2 linked regions of the Drosophila melanogaster genome follow. The protein of the gene in region 2 interacts with the protein of the main gene of each other region in a pairwise test. Each region holds a gene or a part of one and is shown on either strand. Other genes may lie near its edges.

Region 1 (4,189 bases), on a different chromosome or scaffold from region 2:
CAGTTTCTTGCACTTGTTCATGATTCATACTATTAAATTGTGGTTAATTAGCATAATTTGTGCTATTAAAGTATTAGTTTTATCTTAGCAACTTTGTCATGAGCCTAAGCAATATTTTAATAAATTTCTAACGATCAAAATCACTGCAAAATATTTAATATTTATTGGGTAAAATATGGAATTTATTGCACCAAATTGCAATTTATTGCAAATTTATAATAAAAAAAAGGTTATTAATATTATTTATTTATTTGAGGCTAACTTAATGTATAAAACTATAAGCAATCTGAGATCTAGCAATAGAAGCTTTGTAAATATATTATTTTAATTCTTTATTAAATTCGTAACAGACATGGTTTTGAAAAACTAGTTTTTAAATATATCATTGTAAGCATAGAAAAGAGTGAAAATGAAAGAATAAATAACGGTTCAAATTTGAGAAATTTGATCCTTTAAAGAAGCTTCTCTCGATTTTAGCGTAAAATATTCTCTTTATAGAGACATAAAAATTATTTCTATAAAACTTGACTGATTTGCGGGGCGTTTGTAAATATATTGACATTTGCTTTGTGATAAACAATATAGTTTAATATTTGTTTTTTTTTATTTTTTCGATGGCGATGCGTTATCTTATCGGCCATTCCACTTTGCCTCGCAGCTTCGTATTGCTTTCAAAGTCTGCCATTTTTGCGCGATTTGCTTCACTTATTGTTTTTCTATCATTGTCTTGCTGTTTTTGCGCCCATTTTGAGAAACGTGAGAGGCATTTGATAAAAGTTGTTATTTACCAATTGTGCCCTCTGCGATTTGTGCCTAGTTCGAGGGCGAAAACGGGTTTCAAAAACGCCAAGGTGATTCATCTGGCTATCAGGTGAGTTAAAAACCACAAAGACTAGAAAAATGGGTCAGCACAAAGGGGAATTGGACAAAATCTAAACAAAGAAGCGCAACAGAATCTAAAGCGCAAAGCAAAAGGGGCAATAAAAACGGGCATAGACGAAGATGCCGACTGTTGATTATTGTGGAGTGCAATTAAAGTGTAAATAAGTCGCCACACAGACATGACGCAATTAGATTCAACAAGTCAATACGAAGCAATTAATCGGCATTAATGCAGGGCAGGTATATTTGCGTTCTCAACTCGAAAATAACTAAAAAGACTACATATATTGCTTACCACTCGGAATTGCGTCGCAAGGAATGCAGTAAATTCACTGATTTATCACTGTTGTTGCACTCTTTTTAATTGGCTGAAACAACACTAATGTGCAAGTCAACCGATTGTATTTAACAAGTCGCTCTTGATGATCCAGTCCCAAAGACCTTTCGTTGTTTAATGAAAACCAGCAGAAATTGTTTAAACAAGAAATCTCCGACAGAGTGACCAGTCCGAATCTTCTGGAAATACCAGAAGTTGCCTGAGCAGACGGCTTATCGATAACAGCGTGGGCAGTGATGCAGTTCTTGTGTGTAAAACGGCCAAATTCAGTCGCTAAATCGAAATAATTGGTCAGCCTAAATATATGCAAGAGCTTTTTAGTTTATGTTTATTTAATAATGAGTGTTAAATAACTAAAAACTATACCTCTCTTGTTACTTTTGCAATCGAAAGATTTCTAAGTCACTCAACGAACTCAATTTAAATTATACAACAAATGTCTAAACTGAATTTTGTTCAACAGTGTTTTGAAATACTAAATGTTAGAATTCACCCGTTGATGGTAACACTGCTGAGGTAAGAAGAAGACAAATTTTGCTCGTCATTGGGAATTGACGATTCACTGAATTTTTGATAAACTCAACAAAGTAAACGCATTATATATCCCGTAAGTAGTGCAGCGACTACTAATAACCCCAAACCGATCACGGCACCATAAAACACTTTCGAGTTATGCGCCAAAGAAAGTCGTAATTACAATACGTTCTTCATCCAATCTTCGCCAGCTCTCAAGAAGCACCCGCATCATGTTTGGAAGACAAAGTGGACTGGGTAGTTCCAGCAACAGCAGCAACCTGGTGGAGTTCCGCGCAGGTCGCATGAACATGGTGGGCAAGATGGTGCATCCGGATCCGCGCAAGGGCCTGGTCTACATGACCCAGAGTGACGATGGCCTGATGCACTTCTGCTGGAAGGATCGCACCTCCGGCAAGGTGGAGGACGATCTCATCGTCTTCCCCGATGACTTCGAGTACAAGCGCGTCGATCAGTGCAAGACGGGCCGTGTCTATGTGCTTAAGTTCAAGTCATCGACACGCCGCATGTTCTTCTGGATGCAGGAGCCCAAGACGGACAAGGACGACGAGCAGTGCCGCCGCATCAACGAGCTGCTGAACAACCCTCCATCCGCCCACCAGCGCGGCGGCGGCGGCAGCAACGACGGCGACCTCCAGTACATGCTCAACAACATGTCGCAGCAGCAGCTGATGCAGCTCTTCGGCGGCGTTGGCCAGATGGGTGGTCTCAGCTCGCTGCTGGGCCAAATGAAGTGAGCATTTAAACCCTTGCAGCCATAGTGTCCAAGAACTAGTCAAGTAGATAGCTTCTTAACTTACAGGGTATCGTTTTTATTGTTTATAAGCATGTAATCGAAGGAATGAAGCCAGAACTTGAGTTCACCCCCTTTTTCAATATTTTCCTTTCTATATTCTCCGCAGCTCCCGGACGCCCTCGTCGCGCAACACCTCCTCATCGGGTGGCGGTGGGGCATCGGCCTTGCAGACGCCCGAAAACGTCAGTGTGCCGCGCACTCCGAGCGCTCCATCGAAATCGGGCAGCAGCCGCAGCAGCAGCAATGTGAACTCGCAGGTCGGCGAAGGTGCCGGCTCCTCCGTTGATGCGGATGCCCCCGGTAAGAACTCAACCACATCGACCACAACGGCGTCAAAATCGACCGGAGCCTATGCCAATCCATTCCAAGCCTACTTATCCAATCTCTCCCCCGAACATGGCGCAGGACGATCCCTGAATATTGACCTATCGACGGCCCTACCCGGCGCCGATGCCATCAATCAGATAATTGCCGATCCGGAGCATGTCAAGACGCTGATCGTGCACCTGCCCGAGTCGGAGGATGTGGACGATGATCGCAAGCAGCAGATCAAGGACAATATCACCTCCCCGCAGTTCCAGCAGGCTCTGGCCCAGTTCTCCAGTGCCCTGCAATCGGCCCAGCTGGGACCTGTGATCAAGCAATTCGAGTTGTCCAACGAAGCAGTGGCCGCCGCCTTCTCTGGCAATCTAGAGGATTTTGTGCGTGCTCTGGAGAAGAGTCTGCCCCCCGGTGCCACCATGGGTGGCAAACCCTCCGCCAGCGAGAAGAAGGCCAGCGATCCCGAAACCCCAACTTCAGTGGCCCGCGATGAGAACACAGATCCCGCTACCGAAAAACAGGAGGAGAAGCAAAAGTAGCTTACGTGTGCGGCTTGGTAGTCATTGATATGGAATCCGAAAGCAAATTTTTTCATGTGCTGAGTGATTTTTGGATGCTAAATAAATTCAAATGGGAGTTAATCGGTAGTTATCTATCTAATTGTGTGTTTGATATACATCAAAACGGCTTATTAATTTATATTTAAAATATTACTACTTTAATAAAAGGATACGCGTTTTGGTAAGTACTCGTCCAGCTCTTTTCAGAATGCATCATTATACTCATTATACTTGGGTTTTTGGCTTACCTAATTTAATTTAAAAAAACAAAGTCTAACGTGTACAATTTATTTTAAATTTTGAAGTTAATAATGGGGGGATATATGGAAGTAACGGTAATATTAATCCCGACAAGGTCATTTTGTTGGTGTCCCCCTAACAAAAGCTCGCTGCCCCGCTCTCTCATCGCAACACACTGGTCGTCCCTTTCTGGCGCGAATTGCGCGCTCTCTCAGCGAGAGCCGTCTCACACAGATATATACACACACAGGCACACGCAACAATATTTATTTTATTCAATTCCAAAACGGCCAGCAAATAAGTTGTGTTTGTGCAAAACTCGCGCGTTCGCAATTTTCCGAAGCTGACTCTCAATTCTCATACATAACGATCTCAAGCGATCTCCGCCAGGCGAATCAAACCCGGATATATCCAGATCTGCAGTAATTGCCATATTTTTTCGCCAATTTTTGCGTTGCGGGCTGGATGTTTTTGTATCTGTTGTTGTTGGTGCTTTCATTTTGCAGCAATCTCTGTGCC
Region 2 (4,307 bases):
AAGTTTCCATGGCAATTAATACGCATGCGCAGAGTTGCGAGCTCCGGCGAGTCCGAATCCCAGCGAGCAAATCCCAAACGGCCATTCCAGGCGGGTGTTGTCGTCCGTCTCCAAGCGGCTCGCATGTCAATTTGATGGCAATTAACTTGGCTTCGCTCCGGCTTTTGTTTTAATAATAAATTTAATGAGCTGCCAAAAATGGTTGCAAATTTACGTGGCAATTAGCGGGCTAAATGACGGCGACACTTGGCCAAGAGATCGTGTCTGGGCGGAAAGCTGCGACTCCAAATGTGCAACTGTCCGTCTGCTCCATTTTGCTAATGAGCGCTGCGATTTTCCTCGTATCTTTGGGGCTTGGCTATGAAGGTGGTGGTGGTGCTGGGTACTCAGTGGTCTTGTGTGGATTGTGGATTTGCGATGGCATTTGGAGGGTGTGGTTGCTTGGATTTTTTTCGGCGGTGGGTCCGTGGTTGCAAGGTGACTAAAACATGGGTTGGTCATCCGCTGGTTAACTTTTAATACAATAATAAATAAATAGTGAATAAATATGAACACTACAAATTCGCAAAAAACACCAATTGATAGAACTAAGAAAACAGGCAACTATATATACTAAATATAAATAAATACATTCCCCACACTGAATTTATTAATAAAACGCTTATGAATATTTATAAAAAATTTAATTTGTTTTTATAAAAAAGATGCTACAGCGTCAGAGAGAATTTTTAAACCCGTATATCCCTGGCTATTGATGACAAAAGAACTTTCTTCTAAATACCCGACATCTGGGGATGGTATCCGTACGTCACATACAGCTCTTCCTTGGATAGAGTGCGCTCCAGGATCTCGGGATCCAGGTAAAAGTGTCGTGGCAGGATCTTCCACTGCCACATGTTGAAGTAATTGTACTCTCCGAACTCCCGGAATCCGTGATATAAGTAGTTGGGATTGTCCGCCTGGCGAATGACCCAGAAATGTTCATACTTGTGATAGCGCCATCCACGTTCCGCCAGTTCAGCAGCCGCGAGCATCTGCATCATGTCGCCAGCATATGTGTAGAAGAAGAAAAATAGGAGCTCATCATGCATTTCCTCGATTTTGGGCTCCTGTAGGCTCATATTTACATTGAAGAGATAGTTCAATGGCAATTTGTAGCTCATCTCCTGAGGAGTCAAACGGGCTTCTTGAATTGGCCCGGTAAAGATCGAGTCCGCGGCTCCGCCTATATTGTGGGCAACATTATTTCCGAATAGAAGCGGGTTCTGATTAATCGATCGCAGTTTCTTGGCCAGTCCCAACATCCCAAAGGCTCCCTGAATGGTGGAACCCGAAGGTTTCGCCTCCACATTCGAAGTCGTTTCATTAGTGGGTGAGCCCAGCTCAAATGTGACTCCACCCAGTGGCATACCATCACTGTTGGTTATCAAGCGGGCAAAAATTTTGCAATTCTCGAATCCGGGTGGTGGTTGGATTGCTGGTTTTGCCAGGGCAGCCCTCTTGTGGGCCGCATTTATAGCCCTCTGCCTGACGCCTTCGAGCAGGAATTGCTTGGTAAATATCATGCTCAAATTTAAACGGAACGGATTGCCGAGATAACCGTACATATGGGGCAGCAACTCCATATTCTGGCGCTTCTCGGGAGCATGGGTTGGCTGACGGAGCACCTCGTTGCCGTTAGCGTTAACGCACGGATCACTGGAATTACGGATAACTGTATTTCGAAATTTGGCGAGTTCGACCTGCTCGCTGTTGCTCATCATGGCTGTCCAGTCGTCGGGCACCACAGGGCTCGATGTCGTTGGTAATGCGGTTGGTAATGCAGATGGTAATGATCCTGGCAGAGCCGGAAAATCTTCGCGAAAGATGCTGAACTCCGGCGCAAGTGGTTGGGACGGTGATGCGGACGGCGGCAACTCCTGTTTGGGCTTATTCTTTACCACATCCACGTACAAAATGGGATATCCATCCGGGGTCTGCAAAGACTCGGGCGATGATAATGGCGATTGGAAAGGCGGAGGAGGCGGCGGACTTGGAGAGCTCTCCACCTCCTGCTGGTCATCCCCAGTATTGTAATAATGACGTTTCATATCTTACTCTGGATTTCTATAAGACTCAGAGCTTATCTCGTAATTTATAAGCGTTGCGAGGAAAAAACACGTGTGGCAGAGATCGCTTTGGTTTGCAATACTATAGCTTGCCAAAATGACATTTGAGAGAGTCCTGATTAACACTGATTTCCGATAAAATATTCGATATAAAGCTTGTAGTCGAATGTGTTTGTGATACATATTCATACGCGAAAATTACTAAAAGTTAATGTGTCAGATTTTTAATAGCAACTCGTTAAGCAGGGAAAAATATAGATTATATAGATAGATTATATAGATTATACATATATACTTAAGTCGTTTTTCAGCTAAAAAACAAAAATCATAACAAACCTGAAACATTGAGTTTACTAATAAATTAACTTCTCGCATTGTGTGGGTGCCACGGAAATTGCCACAAAGCAATTTAAAAGGTATGGTCATAAATTCAAAAAAAATTCACCTGCGCAGCAGCCAAAGGAAAAAGAATAAAATTGTGCATAAAAATAAGAATGAGACGCACAAAAAACGTTCGCCTATAAAATATTAAATAAAAAACTGGCGGGGAGTATAACCCATTAACTTAAACTGACACCATACTAACATAAATCTCGTTCCTTGGCCAAGCAAAAGTCCCTGGGAATTGACAAAAGGAAAAAAACGAAAAAAAAAAGGAAAGGGGAGGGAAAATATCTTGGCTAATAGTCCAAGTGCTCCTGCCCACAAAATGTTGAGGAGCACATGGTCATTTGCCTGCCGCGAATCAACGAACTTGTCCAGCGGCCTCAAGAGTCACAACACTCTTGGGATCAGGTGCACGGCTCCCACTGCTCCTTACCTGTGCTCCCCAAATTAAGCACAAATAATATAAAATACAATAACGTAGAATCCCAGCCGCTGGCAAAGAAAAATGATACACATAATCGCCGCACGGCCAAGTGCAGAATTTTCAGATCAAAAAAGCAAAATACGTTTAAGTTTTAGAACCGTACTTTGTAATACCCTTGCAATATCATGTGAGCTTATAGTCCTTATTTTATATAAATAGATCGTGTGATTTGCTGCTTCATGCTGCATATTCCTTAGGTCATCATGTATAAGTTACCACTTAATATGCTAAGCACAACCAAAAATACAGTACTCCTGGCACAGAACACTTTCCAAATACCCATGTACAGAGTATATAGCAATGCATCCAGATCCCAGGAACGCGACTAACGAAGCCAGCGAAGCCATCACGAACTGCGGGCAGAAGCTGCTCCGGCCACATAAAGTACAATAAATCATACTCATGTTGCCGGGGACAGCGACAAAAGCCGCCTGCTCCGCTCCACGATTCGCAGTCATACTGGCCACGATCACCTGGCACTTGGCCTGGTCCACAGATGGGTCAGGCCAATTGCGAAGCCATTAAATCGCCATGGCCAGGGCCACAGTCGAGGCAAGTGGAGTCTCTAGGCCACGGAGGTGTCAACTGGAGGCGATCCTAAATTGGATTTTGGCTTTCATTTGATTGCAAAATACTCATTTTTGTATTTCAGAATAGGTTTCTCCCGCACCTGACGTATCACGTGACCATTCCGCAAGCTAAGTTTCCTAGATTACCCAGACATTTACTCATTTCGAGGTGATAGCACACTGAAAACTAAAACATTATTCAAAAATACTTACTGCATATATAGAGAGTATTTTTTGGGTGCTTGAACTTGAATTACAAATGAACTTGTAAGCTTACATATGTAAAGCGTATAAAACCCAGACCCATAACCCCCACTTTTTATTCGCAGAGTGTGGAAAACGCAGTGGGGATCAGGACCTGTTGGCCGCCATCAAGGCGTGCATTATGGAAATTAGCATCGGCTTAAGAGACGCCCCATTCGTCGGCACAAATGACCCAACTCCAAGCCGCATCGGGTGCGTGCCGCCATCTCGGCTAATGACCAGCGGGAGCAGCAGCACTTGTAGTTGCATCTAAGACATCAGTAAGCACCGAAAGAAGCTCTGGAAGCAATCGTCCCACAGCCCGGCGAGTTTTACGAGCTCATTGGAAGTGCTGCTCCGGCACGGGAAGAGCCGAAACATGTGTATGTATGTACATATTCCTCTCACCTCAGTGGGCTTAGTGGCAGGCGGGCCATTAGCCAAAGCGTACAGCATAATGGCCATATGTTTATGGCGTTCTTGCCAGTCTTTAAAAATTATTCATAATAGGCGTAC

The links.
Region 1: the proteins of CG15262 (region 2) and Rpn13 interact in a two-hybrid assay, tested with the Drosophila melanogaster proteins (2 studies listed by BioGRID).

What each region holds. Positions count from the first base shown.
Region 1 is NT_033778.4:13,957,865-13,962,053, reverse strand, and holds Rpn13 (regulatory particle non-ATPase 13), read left to right. Parts: upstream 1-1,649; 5' UTR 1,650-1,735; exon of another isoform or gene 1,736-1,826; intron 1,827-1,845; exon of another isoform or gene 1,846-1,944; 5' UTR 1,945-1,965; coding exon 1,966-2,486; intron 2,487-2,655; coding exon 2,656-3,409; 3' UTR 3,410-3,509; downstream 3,510-4,189. Other genes in the region: CtsL1 (cathepsin L1), read right to left, coding at 789-860. UniProt on the Drosophila melanogaster protein: May function as a proteasomal ubiquitin receptor. May promote the deubiquitinating activity associated with the 26S proteasome.
Region 2 is NT_033779.5:15,295,730-15,300,036, reverse strand, and holds CG15262 (uncharacterized protein), read right to left. Parts: upstream 2,230-4,307; 5' UTR 2,091-2,229; coding exon 774-2,090; 3' UTR 670-773; downstream 1-669.